Callithrix jacchus: one gene and its partners. The protein of the gene in region 1 purifies or fractionates together with the protein of each later gene. This does not show direct contact. Links are inferred from orthologs where the notes say so. Each region holds a gene or a part of one and is shown in the gene's direction. Other genes may lie near its edges.

Region 1 (3,511 bases):
GCCCAGGAGAGGACATTCAGGGTCACAGTGGAGGCAGTGCTGGGTTCTGCCGTCTCTAGGACTTGTGTTTCACACATGCACCAACAGCCCTCCCAGCGCACAGCTCCCTGTCCCCACTGATAGCACCTATAACCCCCCTTCTCTTGCTCTCCTGATCACCTGTTTTCCTGGCAGTTCCCATAGAAGAGCAGCGTGGGGACTATGACCTGAACGCTGTGCGGCTCTGCTTCCAGGTGACAGTGCGGGATCCATCAGGCAGGCCCCTCCGCCTGCTGCCTGTCCTCTCTCATCCCATCTTTGACAACCGTGAGTGGCCAGGGAGCCACAGGAAGGGGAGAGGGGTGGGCCTGGATAAGGAGGAATGGGGTTGGGTTGAGTGTGACCTGCAAGAGGTGCTCTTGCTTCATTCAATCATCTTGCATATCCGTCTTCTTTTCTGTGCCCAGCTCTTTGTTGGCTGGGGAGAGAGGGCAAAGAAGACCCAGAGCTGTCCTTCAGGTATAGCTCCAGCCTGGAGTGAGTCTGATGGGAAATGGATATTTTCAGTATCATGTGATGAGAAGGTGGTGTGCCCACAACTGCGATAAAGATTCTAGGAAATGAACTCCTGGGAACAAGATAGTGTTCGGGAATGATGATTCAGTGACGGAAGCCCACAGATGAACTGGGCTGACTGATCAGCTGCAGTCTTTAATTAAGTAACCAGCAGGATGAATGGAAATGAAACAGTTCTGGAGCCCCAAGAATGGGAAACCAGGATAAACTGGGGGTCAGGAGGGAAGGGCTCATTGCCAAGGTGTGTATGGACTGGCCTTAAAGATTACTTGGGTCAGGGGGAGAAAGAGTGTGAGCAGATTGGCGCCCACTGGATTATAAGCTCCGGGAGAGCAGAGAGATTAGGTTTTGTACGTGGTTGGATTCTCCTTGCTTAGATCAGTGTTGAGCACACAGCAGGTAAATACTGGCTGAATCGGTTGGGGTATGGAGCCAGTAAGAAGGTCTGACTGGCTGCAAAAATGTAGGAGGCAAGTTCTGGGCAACCTTGACTCTGGACTGGGCAGAGAAGCTGCATCTCCTGCAGCCCACCCCAGGGACCTCAGGTGGCTCAGGTCGGCCTTCCTTGTTCCCGCTGCCTCAGGTGCTCCCAACACTGCCGAGCTCAAGATCTGCCGAGTGAACCGAAACTCTGGCAGCTGCCTCGGTGGGGATGAGATCTTCCTGCTGTGTGACAAGGTGCAGAAAGGTATACATCGGGAGGCAGGGTGGGCTCTTGGAAGCAAGGGGTGAAGCTGAGCAGAGATGGGGAGTGTCAGGAAACTGGCTTTGGATACTTCCTCCTGTGCCTGGGGGCCTCAGGTGGGCCTCGGGGCAAAGTATCTCAGGAGACAAGCATCAGAAGTTGAGGGGGGACTGCAGAGGGCGTGACATACTGACCACACTGCCATCCCATCTCCTGCAGAGGACATTGAGGTGTATTTCACGGGGCCAGGCTGGGAGGCCCGAGGCTCCTTTTCACAAGCTGATGTGCACCGCCAAGTGGCCATTGTGTTCCGGACCCCTCCCTACGCAGACCCCAGTCTGCAGGCTCCTGTTCGTGTGTTCATGCAGCTGCGGCGGCCTTCCGACCGGGAGCTCAGCGAGCCCATGGAATTCCAGTACCTGCCAGATACAGGTACACAGCTGGGGTGGCAGCAGCAGGGCAGCTGGGCTGTGTCCCATGAGAAAGGCCAAGACTGCATGTCTGGGGTTGTAGTTGAGAGCCGGAAGCTGGAGTCAGAGCTTGGGATTTATATGATAATTGGAATCCATTTCTTGCCTCATTTAATAATAATGTTACCTGACATTGAGCTAGTACTACACATCTGCCCCTATTCCAGGATTACCTGATTTTAATCTCATGAGCCTTTTGAGGTAGGAGATGGTGTCCAACTTGCCTGGCTTCATGTGGCTAGTGAGTAGCAGAGTCAGCGTTGGGACCCAGGCCATCTGGCTTCAAGGGTCCTTTTACCACACTGATTGTCTTGTCACTGCCATACAGCCCAGCCACATTTTGGTCGAGGTTTGAGTACCCACTTGGTACCAGGGCCTGTGCCAGGTATTGTGAATACAAAAAATGAATAAGACATACGTACTCCCTGCCCTTCAGAATCTTAGTCACTTGAGGAAGACAATGTGCAAAACAGATCCATAAGTCACAGAATGACATGGGAAATGGAGGAATGTGCAGAGAGCCATGGGAGCACGGTGGCCTCCGGGGAGCTGGCGACGCTGCGTGGAGTAGGTGGCATTGAAGCTGTAGAAAGACGCAGAAGTGCATTCTCCAGGCAGGTGACCCAGCACCTGGAAGGGAAAGGGTATTGGCAGCTGCACAGCCTGTTCAGGGGCATCTTTGGGATTTGAGCTGATGTTGAGCAGTAGCAGGCCCAGAGAGAGGGGGCCTGGTCAGGCTGAAGGCAGTAGGAAGCCATCGAAGGTTTCTAAGCAGAGAGGTGACAGGAGCAGATTTGGAAGCTGACTCAGGAGGCCACTTGTAGAGGATCAGAGATGGAGAGACTCAAAGCAGGGAGGCCATTCTGGAAGATGTTAACTGTAGCCCAGGAAGAGAAGATGTCTCGTGAACCCAGATCACGTTTTCACCACTGCCGTCAGTTGCCCTTCAGCTGTTTTGTGTCATTTCTTTTTTTTGAGAGAGATCTTCACTCTTGTCACCCCAGGCTGGAGTGAAATGGCGCCATCTCGGCTCACTGCAGCCTCTGCTTCCCGGGTTCAAGCAATTGTCCTGCCTCAGCCTCCCAAGTAGCTGGAATTACAGGCTTGTGCCACCAAGCCTGGCTAGATTTTGTATTTTTAGTAGAGACAGGGTTTCACCACATTGTGCAGGCTGGTCTCAGACTCCTGACCTCAGGTGATCTGCCCACCTCGGCCTCCCAAAGTGCTGGGATTACAGGCATGAGCCACTGTACCCAGCCTGTTTTGCATCTTATGGCCCAAACTCAGTCTCACCTCAGGACCTATGTCTAGCTGTTGCCTCTGCTTGGAAGGCCTGGCCCAAGGTTTTCTCTTGCTGTTTTTCTGGTTTTTGAGATGAAATTTAGCTCTTGTCACCCAGGCTGGAGTGCAGTGACATGATTTCGGTTTACCACAACCTCCACCTCCAGTGTTCAAATAATTCTCCTGCCTCAGCCTCTGAGTGGCTGGGACTACAGGCATGCACCACCACGCCTGGCTAATTTTGTATTTTTAGTAGAGATGGAGTTTCTCCATGTTGGTCAGGCTGGTCTCAAACTCCCAATCTAAGGGCATCCGCCCGACTCGCCCTCCCAAAGTGCTGGGATTACTGGTGTGAACCACTGCACCCAGCCCTGACCCAAGGTTTTCATGCAAGTGGCTCAGGCCAGTGCTTCCCTGACCACCTCTGGATTAGACTGTCCTCACCTCACTGGTATTGTTATATCACCGTGTCTTCCCTGGATCACCATCACTTGAGATTTTTTGGTTTGTAGGCCGGGTG
Region 2 (4,216 bases), on another chromosome or scaffold:
CTCTTGTTACCCAGGCTGGAGTGTAATGGCGGCATCTCGGCTCACCGCAACCTCCACCTCCTGGGTTCAGGCAATTCTCCTGCCTCAGCCTCCTGAGGAGCTGGGATTACAGGCACGCGCCACCATGCCCAGCTAATTTTTTATATTTTTAGTAGAGGTGGGGTTTCACCATGTTGACCGGGATGACCTCATGATCCACCCGCCTCGGGCTCCCAAAGTGCTGGGATTACAGCGTGAGCCACCGCGCCCAGCGGTCTGCATTTTCTAAATACGAATCAGGTTCATTAAAAAGTCAAGGGTTATCTGAGCAGTGAGATAATGGCACCTTTTCAGATTTTGTCTCTATACCTGTTCGTATTAAACAAACACAAATATTAATAACATATTTTTAAAATCTTAAAAAAAATTAAAAACCCTGATAGTATCAGCACATACACAGAAATCACTCCATTATGCAAAGTTCATCCTCTATTATGAAAGGCAAAATATGTACATTTCCTATGAACCACTGACTTCAATTCTGTAAAACTTGCATACCAAGTAGACAAGGTGGAAAAGAAAAAGGCAGAACATTTCATGTATTTCAATTCAGACGCATACAAATGTCAAGTCTTACAAGTACGTGTCAGCTTTCGTATATAATGTCTTCTGCATTTGCCTGTACCAGCCAATGGGCTAGCCGGTCGGCGTTTGGTGCTTGAAGTGATGGAACGGAGGACGGGGTTAAATCCACTACCCTCTCCCCACGCACTCTAGTAATTACTCTATTTCCACGTCATGTTTCCGGGTGCATGTGTCCCTGCTCACGCAGAAACTGAAGTTCAAAGCAGGCGGAGTCACCCAGGTTCTTTTTGTTGTCCCCAGAACCGAATTTAGGAGTTGGGTCCCCAGAGGATCTGAAGACACCTGGGGGACTGTCTAACTGGCTGATTCTCACGTGGTAAGAGGCTCTCAACCTCGCCACCACGTGGTGCCCAGGGCCGGGAAAAGGGAGAGCGGGCAGTAGGGAGCTGTATCAGGGGCATTTAAAGTGCCTTGACGTCACACACTGCCAGGAACTCAGCTGAGTTTTCAGCAGGACATTCCGGTCATCTTCCCTCCCTCCCCCGGGCTTCTGTGCCCAAGCCTTGAGCTCTTCCCTCGCTGTGGCGGAGGGAGGAGCACTAAACTGTCGGAACAGCCAACACAGGGGCGTATCAGTCTTCTCTTTTCCCCGCCCTTTCTCCTAGCGCCTCCTCTCATTGGCTAGTGGGCGTGGCTTCTGCTGTACCACACACGCACTGAGACCTCTGGATGGCCGAGCGAGCTGGCCGATCATGAATTATGCATGACGGCATGCCGGGCCCGGCCGGGGCTGGACGGGGATTGGCTGAAAGGGCTGTAATTCAGTGGTTTCCGGAGCTGCGGCGGCGTAGACTGGGAGGGGGAGCCAGGGGTTCCGACGTCGCAGCCAGAGAACAAGCCCCAACCGGATCCTGGACCAGCAACCCTGCTTGGCGCTGTCTCTCCTCGTCGGCAAGAAGAGGCCCTTTGGCCTGAGGGAGCCCCGCCGCCCGCCCCTGGCTCACGCGCAGCCCCGGCCTCTCGGCCTCCGCGGGAGAAACAGGTGAAGGGGGTGCAGGGTGGGGCCGTCGGGGAAGCCTGGGGACCCGGGGGCGCCGTAGGGCCCGGGGGCCTTTGGGACGTTGGAGAGGTTGTATGGACGCTGCATTGGGGCGGGGAGAGATGAGACGCGGAGGGTCGCCCTGAGGGAAGACTCCCCTGGATGACTGGAGCGGGCCTCGGAAGGGACTGGGGACTCTGGAGGGAAGTTTCGTTCTTCAGAGAAACAGTAAGAACGCGCTCGAGAGGGAACCGTGGGGCGAGAGCGCACTCGGCTGCGGCGGCAGGCGTGAGGGACTGTCCCCCGATTTCCTGCTCCTTGGGGCCCTGGGGACGTTCCGGCCACCGGAGCGACTGTCACACTGGCGGGGATCACCGGCTCTGGTGGGTGTCGGAAAGCGCTTCCTTTCCGCTCGGCCGGCGGCTCCCGCTGAGCCACTTCCTCCAGTTGCCGGGTTCCCGCTCCTTCAGGAGCCAGCTATACCCCTCTGGAGGCAGGAATAGGTGTCTGTCCCCTGCAGTCTCACGGACTGGCTGGTCTTGGGTAGGTTTATTGCATAAGAATCAAGTTCCCTCTAAGGAAATTGACAGACTGGTACTCTTCCTAAATTCCCTCCCATCTTTTTCTAGGTTAAGCTATACTCCCCTCACTCCACTCCCCCGCCTTGTAAAAAAGAGAGGAAAAAGAAAGAAGACAAAATAAAATCCCAATTAACCCGTCCAGCCAGCTGTAGAGAGAAATAAACCTCTTGACATTGTTCTTTTCCAAGCACCTGGTAAAGTCGGCCAGAAGATAAATAATTGAGCCATTGCCTTTACTGGATTGTGTTGTTGCTTAATTGCATAGGACAGAATGAACCAATCGAGAGTGGGAGTTTTCTGTCTCAGAGCCAAGATCTTGGGTAAATGCAGAGGAGAGTGAAACAAAGGCTGGCTTTGAAAAAAACCATGTGTGCAAACTTTACCTGCGTTTGGGGGTGTGTGTTTGCACTGAAGTTAAAAGGATTGAGACCGTCACCCAAGTTGGTATTTCCATGTTTGGTACACATCACTCTGCTATATCAGGTCGTTGTATGTGTGGTGACAAAATCAGTGGTTAGTCTTTTTTTTTTTTTTTTTGGAAATGTGTATAGTGTGTACCTGCTGGCTTTATTGTATATGCAACTAAAGGTTTATGTAGTCTGTGTATGGATTGTAAATTTTTGGCTGGCTGTGCTAATAAAACATTGGCTTGAATAAAGCAAAGCAGAAAATGATCTCAATCTTTTATATGTGGCTTTAGATTGTGTTATGACTTAATTCAGCCAGTTTTTTTTATTTTATATCAAATATATCTATGTTCTCTGAGTCAGCACATTTATTTCTTTATTACATGTTCCAGACTGGAGTGCTAGCCCAGTTTTTGTTCAGTTTGCACAGTGGGATGGGGGAAAGAAGTCTGGAATTAAATGTTTTAGAGGTTGGAGCCTTGATTTTAGTCTGTATATTAGCACACCATCACAAAGAACCATTGGTAAATTAAAGAATCTTTTGTTTTTTATGTAGTTCATTTGGGAAGAATAATCACTTAGAAACACCCACAGTTCCAGGCATGGTGGTGCACACCTCTGATCCCAGCTACTTGAAGGCTGAGGCTGGAGGATTCCTTGAGTCCAGGAGTTGAGTCTGGTCTGGGCAACATAGTGAGAGGCCAGGAGTTGGGTCTAGAGTCTAGTCTGGGCAACATAATGAGAACTTGTCTCTAAGAAAGAAAGAAAAAGGAAAGGAGGAAGAAAGGAAAAAAAAATACCCACAGCACAGTTATGAATTGACCTACAAAGGACTTGAGGTAGGTAGTTCACATAACAATTACCTTAATATTATAGATAAGAAAATTGAGGCCAAAGAATCAAGACACTTGCCCAAGGTAGCAGAGTGCCATAGTGGTGGCATTTGTGCCTCCTGCAATTTTTTTCTTTTCTTTTAATTTTTTTTCAAGAGAAAGTCTTACTCTGATGCCAGGCTGGAGTGCAGTGGCACGATCTTGGTTCACTGCAACCTCCACCTCCTGGGTTCAAGCGATCCTCCTGCCTCAGCCTCCTTAGTAGCTGGGACTACAGGCACGTGCCACCATGCCCAACTCATTTTTGTATTTTTAGTGGAGACAGGGTTTCACCATGTTGGCCAGAGTGATCTCGATCTGTTGACCTCGTGATCCACCTGCCTCGGCCTCCCAAATGCTGGGATTACAGGCATTAGCCACCGCACCGGCCTTTTTTTATTGTTATTATTTTATTTTATTAATTTTTTTTTTTTTTACACAGAGTCTTGCACTGTCACCCAGGCTGGAGTGCAGTGGCTCGATCTCTGCTCACTGCATCCGCCACTTCCCAGCTTCCAGTGATTCTCCTGCCTCAGCCTCCCGAGTAGCTGGGGTTACAGGTGCACCCCACCACGCCTGGCTAATTTTTGTATTTTTAGTAGAGATGGGATTTCCCTACATTGGCCAGGCTGGTCTTGAACTCCTGACATCGTGATCTGCCTGCCTTGGCCTCCCAAAGTGCTGGGATTACAGGCATGAGCCACTGCAACTGGCAAGTAACAGTGGAATTCTAGTTTCTTTTTTTTTTTATAT
Region 3 (4,043 bases), on another chromosome or scaffold:
AAGTGAAAAAGTATTTTCTTAGTTCATTAATTTTATAAATTAAGATATTTTGGTCAAGACTGTGACAATCTAACTCCCTTTTCTTTTTCTTTTTCTTTCTTTTGACAGAGTCTCGCTCTGTCACCCAGGCTGGAGTGCAGTGGCATGATCTCGACACACAGCAACTTCCGCCTCCCAAGTTCAAGCAATTCTCATGCCTCAGCCTCCTGAGTAGCTTGGATTACAGGAGCGTGCCACCAAGCCCAGCTAATTTTTATATTTTTAGTAGAGACTGGCATTTCTCCGAGTTGGCCAGGCTGGTGTCAAACACCTTACCTCAGGTGATCCACTCGCCTCGGCCTCCCAAAGTGCTGGGATTACAGGCATGAGCCACCGTGCCCAGCCCTAAATCACTTTCAACTAAACCCTAGAGTTTTTCCTCCTAAGGTAGACCCAATTTCCAAAATAAACTCATATTATATCTTTTAAGGCCAAAGAAAATACTTATATGCTTTATTTGCTGGAGGCCATTATATTCCACTGTTAAAGGGCTTTTGTAAGAACCTGTTTGACCCTTAGTGCAGGGCTTACATCCCAGGGTTAGCAATAACAAGCTATGTGCTTTTTGAGCTCTAAACGCCAAGAATTTCCTGAGCCGAGTTCTATTTGCCCTGAAATGCTGTGGGAGAGAAAAGATTCCTCGGGAGACGTGTGGGTGGCAATAGCTTAGGAGGACCTTGAAATGCTGCATTGGTGTTTGAGCTGCTGCCAGGTGCCCACTGGCCCAGCTCCTCTGGGTCGCAAATCTTCCGCAGACGCCAGATATATGAAATCTGGGGACGTTCAGCTCTCTAAAACCACAGTTAGGCAGGCTCTAGGACCCCTGATTCTTCTCACAGTTTTACTTAGCATTTAGGCTACAGGTGAGGCGTTGGTCGCCATCTTGATATCAAACGCCCGGCAAACCGCTACTGGCGTCCCTCGGTAACCACGGAGACACCCATGCCCCTCCCCTTTTCGTCCTTAGAGGCTGTAAACTACAATTCCCATCAGCCGATTTCCTCTGCTTGAGGGCAAGTTATCTAAATCTGACTCGTCGGCAACCGCAACGCTACCGCAGTGAACTGTGGGAGTTGCGGTTCACGGCATAGCCTCAGTTTTTGCTTCGGGAAGCTTTAGAACTACTAATCCCGTGAGCCAGTGGGCTTTCGCCTGCCCACTGAGAAGCTGATTCTTCTTGGCCCCATCAGCCTGTGCCTGAGAGGTAAGAGAGGGCGGGGGGAAGGAAGAGGAGGCGGGATCCGGGCGCTGCGTTGGCTGCGGCCTGGCACCAAAGGGGCGGCCCCGGCGGAGAGCGGACCCAGTGGCCTCGGCGATTATGGACTCAGCCGAGGCGGTGCTGCAAGAGAAAGCACTCAAGTTTATGGTGAGGAGACGGGGCAGGCGGGGGAATGGCGGAGGCGGTGGCGTTGGCGGCGTTTTGGAGCTCGGGCCTGGGCCGCCAGCCTACTGCCGGACCGGGCAGCGGGACCCTGGGCCGAGGCTGGCGGCAGGGCGGCTGGAGGGACGGGATGGGAGCTCCGGAAAGGAGGCTGGGGATTGCGGAGCGAACCCAGGGGTGGGGGCAGCAGCTCCGCCATCTTGTGGATGAGAGGCCAAGTGACAGCGGGAGCTTAATCGAGGAAGGGGCTCCTGGCTGCGCACGGGGCCCTGGAGGGAAAGGGGCGTGGGGACAGTTACTGAAGAGCGGAGGGAGCTCTGTGGAGAAGCGCCGTGAGGCCGCTGCCTGGGCCTTTCCTGTGTCAGGGTACGAGTAAGGTCCGGGGAGGAGGTGCATTCAGGACTGGGGAGGGGGAGTGCGGGATAGAGAGCAGACAGATCTTACGGGTAGAGGGGAACGGGCAGGGCTGGATATAGATGGATTTAAGGGTGGAGGAGGGAACGCTAGGGCTGGTGACAGGCTTATACTTTTGTAGAATGAGCAGGGAGAATATCCTTTGCCTTGAAGGTGGAATCCCAGCTTGGCCAAACTAATGTTGACAAACTCTGGAAGGGAAGAGGCCTCACTAAAGAAGATAACGACTGGGAATGAAAACGTAGGGCTATAATGACAGTCCCTGGGAGGGGAAGAGCATGTTTACAGTAAACTAGAATTACAAATGTCAGGGAGAAGGATAAATACTCTACTTTGAAAGGAGAAGCTAAATACTGTAGGAAGGGCAAGGTGATGAAAAGTAAGAGGAAGATTGGTCAGGGAAACGGGTACAGGAGATTGGGGGCAAAATGAATGTCTAACGAGTAAGCAAAACAAAATTTGAAGCTAAATTGTGGGAATGTAAAATGTGGAGGCCAGGTGCTTTGTATCATTTTCTGGGAAAGGAAAGGCCGTGGAGAGTTGCAAAGACCCTTAAGAAGTGATGAGATCAGTTGAGAAATTCAGGAGATAAAAAGGGTGGAGGTAGGGAATAAGTCAGTGGTAAGTCAGGATTTGTGATTACCCATCAGTTTTAGGTTGAAGCACAGTGTGAGCAAAAATTGGATTTTGTGGGTGTGTTTAAACCCCTTGGAACCTCTAACTTTGTATCACGCTTTTCTTTTTGCTATGCTTATCTATGGCAAACTTGTATAGTCTGATATTTGATGCTTTTAATCTGATGCTTCTTGTATATCCTAGGTGTAAAACCAGCCTTTGTGGTTACAACTAAAGAGTGATGGAATGCGTAGACTTTAACAGGTAGCCTTAGGGACATGGATATTATTTGCAGTCAAGTCTTGCTATTTCAGAAGTATTGTGACTTGTCCCTCCAATCTTACTCCTTTGCTTAAAAAATAGTTATTTTGTATATTTGCCTAAAATACCATAACAAATCCAAATAAAAATGGATACTAACTTAATTGTATTTTAGGCTTTTAAAGTGCCCCATTTAGAGGGAATACTTCTTCAGAAACTAGTCAAATTTACTAAAACTTTATTTTGCATTAGTGTTTTCAAAAACACCTAATTAAAGTTCAAGGGTATCATTAACAAAATTTTATTGAGCCTGAAGAAGGTTCTTGGATTTCTGCCCAGTGTTAAAATTCTAAATATAAAGAAGAGACCTTGAAGTTTTATTGGACTTTAGAAGTAAGTGAAAGTTACTAGACTTAAGTCAGAAAACTAGTACTGCTTATTTTTGTTTTTCTACTTAGAGGGATGATTTTTTTTTTTTTTTTTTTTTTTGAGACCTAGTTTTGATCTGTCACCCAGGCTGGAGTGCAGTGGCATGATCTCGGCTCACTGCAACCTCTGCTTCCTGGGTTTAAGCGATTCTTCTGCCGCAACCTCCGGAGTAGCTGAGACTACAGGTGCGGACGACCACGCCCAACTAATTTTTGTATTTTTAGTAGAGACTGGGTTTCACCATGTTGATCAGGATGGTCTCAATCCTTGTGGCCTGACCGCCTTGGCTTCCCAAAGTTCTGGGACTACAGGCGTGAGCCATTGCGCCCAGACGAGGGTTGACTCTTAATCCTTATCCTCACACTTGTGTCAGATTTATTGAATAATGTGATTTACAAAACATAAAGAGACATTGTGAGATCATCCCTTTTACTCTCAGTTAGACTTCAGCCTAGGAACATTCTTAGCTACTTAATCTCTGCTTTGTACCAGTGAGTTATGTTTTGATAATGGCCTCCTAGTTGAGTTAAAGTGGATTTGGAGATGATCATGTAATAGTTGCAGCTTTTAGGGGCACCACACGTTATTAAATCTTGAATCAGTTTCCATAGGGAGAAGCCAATTTTTTCTTTAATTTTAGTACTTTCGTTATTGACCTTGCCTGCTGTTCTACAAAAGGTCAACTAGAAGAGGGTCACCAGAATGACACTTTAATAAAAGAAACAGAGAATGAAGAATTTGAGATTGGGTATTCTCTTTCAGTGCAGTAACAGTCTTTACGAATCTAAGTAAGTCACAAATTCATTTGGTGCCATTTACCCTGCTATAGCATGTCTGTTTATTCAGTCAATTTTAAGAAAGGAAGATGATTGGGCACGGTAGCCCACACCTGTAATCCCAGTAT
Region 4 (4,005 bases), on another chromosome or scaffold:
TCTCACATGGTTCAGATCACTGTTCATCCAACTTTCTATTACACAGCGCCCCCTAGACGTTCAATTCAGCATGACCAAACCCAAACCCTGACTTCCTAAACCCGCTTCTCTCATTTCTTGCTCACTGCATAGACAGAGTCGTAGGCATCACCCCTGGCTTTTCTTTCACAGGGTTCCCTGCCAGTCGATCCCTAAGTTCTGCCAGCGGCGCCTGCGTGGGGCGGACTCTTGTATCGTGTTCTCTTCTTTATCCTTGCTGCCAGGCCCTCAACACCTGTGAGCCCTCTTCCTTCAGGAGTTCCCATTTACCTCCCTATGCCTTTCCTTGCTTCCTTCCTTTCCATCTCTAGCAGCTACTGACATGGGAAAATGTAGATTCTCTCGGGTCTCCACGCCAGGCAATTTCATGACTGCTACCCAATGAAATTCCTTACCGTGAATTCCTTTTCTCCATCTTGAGGTGTGTGTTTAGGCGTTTATTTACATCTTTTGTGTTTGAAACAGAATCACTAGGAAGTAGCTGAGTTACCACAGTTTATTTTAATATGTAGCATTGTAAAGTGACAAAGCCCATTTTAATAGCACCAGCCATTAACCCAGTTTTCTCAATTGACACAAGAAAAACACCTCTGAAGGTAGTTACGGGAAAACCTGACATTAGATGACTGCGGAACCCAACCAACCTAGGACCTGAAAATGAAAGTGAAGATAATAAAGAAGCTACAAACTGAGATAGGAAGGGGAAATTAGAAAATGCTCATGTAGCAAAAGAGAGCGGCCTCACCGAGCCAGCCAGGAGTCGAACCTGGAATCTTCTGATCCGTAGTCAGACGCGTTATCCATTGCGCCACTGGCCCTGGGATAGGAGCGTTTTCTTCTCTGCTATTACTTCAAGGTTATACTGCAGGGTTTCATGGGAGGTGTAGTTTCTTAACTGAATTCGGCCGCTGCACTAAGCATTCTGGGAGATTGAAGTTCATCAGAAACCAGACCCTGAGATTGGTGGATCTGCAGGAGCCACGCCGTACGCCACTGTGCAGCCGGCGGATTGGAGGGAAAAGCCACTCTCCTTCTCTCCCGTTCAGGAGCGGTGGCAGACGCTCTGGTTGTTAAGGCGACTCGTCCCGCCTTCTGGGGGGGGAGGGGGCTTCAGTTCGGCTTTGTGATTGGCTACTACTATCAAGGAATCCCGGCGTGGACAGCGCGAGGAAAAAGATGGCGGCGATGGCGGTCGGGGGTGCTGGTGGGAGCCGCGTGTCGAGCGGGAGGGACCTGAATTGCGTCCCCGAAATAGCTGACACACTAGGGGCTGTGGCCAAGCAGGGGTGAGGGCCGGATCTCCACGAGCGGAATGCTGGGTCCGAACTCGGGGACGGAGAAGGGCAAACTAGTCATCCCGGAGAAGCAGGGGTGAGGGGGTCGGCTAGGATGAGGGCGGGAGAGACTATTACTCTTTGGAGGGGAGGATCCTCGGACCCAGGAAAGTGAGGAAAAGAACTTATGAGGGGCCTGTGGTCACTGAGTCCAAAAGTTGGGGGAGTTGTTGGGTAAACTCAAAAGGGCCCTGGAGGTCGCGATTATTGTCTGGGAGTGGGAGGAGGTTTTAGGGGGCAAGGGAGAGAAGAGGCTAATTTTGACGGGGGAGGCATGGGCGGAACTGGGGCAAATCAGGATGTGATGTTCTGGAAAGACTGTCACTTGAGGAGAAAAAAATTCTGCTTGTGGATTTCCATCGTTTTCTCCTTACATTTTCCATGGCTGTGTTTTGGGGAGAAATTGAGGCACAGTACAGCAGAAGTGATATCCCCCAAGGTGGTCTGAACTCAGCAGCCTAGTGGGGTGAACTGATGGCAGCTGAAAGGGCTGTGGAAAAATCAAGGTAGCCTAAATCCAGTTGCTTGGCTCTCTGGCACTGCTGCTCTCTTTACATGATTCTGGGTCTGTCGCGGTTGTAGGTTTGATTTCCTCTGCATGCCCGTCTTCCATCCGCGTTTCAAGAGGGAGTTCATTCAGGAACCTGCTAAGAATCGACCTGGCCCCCAGACACGATCAGACCTACTGCTGTCAGGAAGGGGTAGGGACCATCCCATATGCCCCTTAATTATTAGAGGCAATAACAACTTAAGCTTTATCGGGGCCCTCATTCTCCTCCTTTTCTGACTTGGATATATTTGTTAGTCCCTGGGATATAAATAACTTGTTTTCTCCTTGCTTCTCTATTCTGCACCAGGCTATCCCACATCTATGTAGAAAAAAACCTTTGTCTCTCATTTCTACACTTGAGTTCCTACTAAAAACTGAAAATTGAACAAGTAAAGTGCTGAACCTTATTCAGTATTTGTCTTTCTTGGGTGGGGGAGTGCAGACTGGAATACGCTAATTGTGGGAAAGCTTTCTCCATGGATCCGTCCAGACTCAAAAGTGGAGAAGATTCGCAGAAACTCTGAGGTGGTAAGACTGACTTCTTTGCTGGATCTTTCTAAAGATTAGGTCTGTAACCATGCTGGGTGGGGAAAGTGGCCCCCTCCCACCCCCAGTAACTTGGTAAATCAATTGAAACAATGAAATGAAAGCTATTAGGCTGGGAGCAGTGATGCACACCTATAATCCTAGCACTATGGGAAGCTGAGGCTATAGGATCACTGGAGCTCAGGAGTTCGAGACCAGCCTGGGCAGCATAGTGAAACTTCGTATCTATAAAAAATACAAAACTTAGCCAGGCATGGTGGTGCATGCCTGTGGTCCCAGCTACTCAGGAGGCTGAGGTAGGAGGATGAATTGAGCTTGGGGAGGTCGAGGCTGCAGTGAGTCAAGATTATGCCACTGCACTCCAGCCTGGGTGACAGAGTAAAACTTTGTCTCAAAAAGAAAGAAAAGAAAGCTATTTGCTTGTTAACTCAACCTTTTCCTCTTTATATCCATTTCAGGCCATGTTACAGGAGCTGAATTTTGGTGCATATTTGGGTCTTCCAGCTTTCCTGCTGCCCCTTAATCAGGAAGATAACACCAATCTGGCCAGAGTTTTGACCAACCACATCCACACTGGCCACCACTCTTCCATGGTATAGCTGAGAGGCTCTTTTCCTGCTGCATATCATGGTAGTCAGATTGTGTTAAGTGCCTTTTTGTGCCTAGCCATTCAGTGAAGGTTATGTTTGGCAGAATTTAAATATAAGTATTGCCAGGCACAGTGGCTCATGCCTGTAATCCCACCTTGGGAGGCTGAGATGGGCAGATTGCTGAGCTCAGGAGTTCAAGACCAACTTGGGCAACATAGTGAAACCCCGTCTCTACCAAAAAAAAAAAAAAAAGCCACACAACACAACGCAAATTAGCCAGATGTGGTGTCATGCACCTGTAGTCCCAGCTACTTGGGAAGCTGAAGTGGGAGGATGACTTGAACCTGTGAGGCGGAGGTTACAGTGAGCTGAAATTGTACCACTGCACTCCAGCCTCAGTGACAGAGCCAGACCTTGTCCCCCCAAAAAAGGTCAGATTGCCCTGCCCATCTAAAAGTGGTATGAAGAGAATTTCAGAACATGTAAATGTAATTATTTTAGAAACTTACATAAGGCAGATATTTACCTAAGGATATTTACCTAAGATACACGTTCACTTACAAAATCACAAATTGGGAAAAGCATAAAGGGATTAACGAGGTCTGGATGAAGACTTTTTTAATTGAGGGAAACTTTCTGGACCCAATCAGTTCAAAAGAGAGTTCTAAAAGGGTGAATGTTTATGTGCAGTTCTGGATGCGGGTACCATTGGTGGCACCAGAAGACCTGAGAGATGATATAATTGAGAATGCACCAATTACACACACGCAGGAGTACAGTGGGGAGGAGAAGACATGGATGTGGTATGTCTCCCTTTGCTGCTGTACCAGGGTGCAAGGGATAGGGTGAGGGGAAGTACAGAGCGGAACCTGTAGGGAGGTCTTGAGCTATGGTGATTGGTCGGCCATATGTAGATGACTGTACTTTTCTGTATTTGACTCTGAAC

The links. The genes of interacting proteins can lie anywhere in the genome.
Region 2: the proteins of RELA (region 1) and STAT3 purify together in Homo sapiens (affinity purification with western blotting; 5 studies listed by BioGRID and IntAct, with this or other methods). This does not show direct contact. The link is inferred for Callithrix jacchus from reciprocal best matches to the Homo sapiens genes RELA and STAT3.
Region 3: the proteins of RELA (region 1) and BTRC purify together in Homo sapiens (affinity purification with mass spectrometry; 3 studies listed by BioGRID and IntAct, counting the BioPlex papers as one, with this or other methods). This does not show direct contact. The link is inferred for Callithrix jacchus from reciprocal best matches to the Homo sapiens genes RELA and BTRC.
Region 4: the proteins of RELA (region 1) and PRMT5 purify together in Homo sapiens (affinity purification with western blotting; 3 studies listed by BioGRID). This does not show direct contact. The link is inferred for Callithrix jacchus from reciprocal best matches to the Homo sapiens genes RELA and PRMT5.

The regions. Positions count from the first base shown.
Region 1 is NC_133511.1:122,748,438-122,751,948, reverse strand, and holds part of RELA (transcription factor p65), read left to right. Parts: intron 1-174; coding exon 175-306; intron 307-1,138; coding exon 1,139-1,243; intron 1,244-1,459; coding exon 1,460-1,672; intron 1,673-3,511. UniProt on the Homo sapiens protein: NF-kappa-B is a pleiotropic transcription factor present in almost all cell types and is the endpoint of a series of signal transduction events that are initiated by a vast array of stimuli related to many biological processes such as inflammation, immunity, differentiation, cell growth, tumorigenesis and apoptosis.
Region 2 is NC_133506.1:121,807,226-121,811,441, reverse strand, and holds the start of STAT3 (signal transducer and activator of transcription 3), read left to right. Parts: upstream 1-1,411; 5' UTR 1,412-1,606; intron 1,607-4,216. UniProt on the Homo sapiens protein: Signal transducer and transcription activator that mediates cellular responses to interleukins, KITLG/SCF, LEP and other growth factors. Once activated, recruits coactivators, such as NCOA1 or MED1, to the promoter region of the target gene.
Region 3 is NC_133513.1:94,307,600-94,311,642, forward strand, and holds the start of BTRC (F-box/WD repeat-containing protein 1A), read left to right. Parts: upstream 1-1,238; 5' UTR 1,239-1,357; coding exon 1,358-1,405; intron 1,406-4,043. UniProt on the Homo sapiens protein: Substrate recognition component of a SCF (SKP1-CUL1-F-box protein) E3 ubiquitin-protein ligase complex which mediates the ubiquitination and subsequent proteasomal degradation of target proteins. Recognizes and binds to phosphorylated target proteins.
Region 4 is NC_133509.1:57,297,880-57,301,884, reverse strand, and holds the start of PRMT5 (protein arginine N-methyltransferase 5), read left to right. Parts: upstream 1-1,200; 5' UTR 1,201-1,215; coding exon 1,216-1,325; exon of another isoform or gene 1,326-1,351; coding exon of another isoform or gene 1,352-1,410; intron 1,411-1,955; coding exon 1,956-2,074; intron 2,075-2,230; exon of another isoform or gene 2,231-2,365; coding exon 2,366-2,451; intron 2,452-2,927; coding exon 2,928-3,062; intron 3,063-3,749; coding exon 3,750-3,862; intron 3,863-4,005. UniProt on the Homo sapiens protein: Arginine methyltransferase that can both catalyze the formation of omega-N monomethylarginine (MMA) and symmetrical dimethylarginine (sDMA), with a preference for the formation of MMA.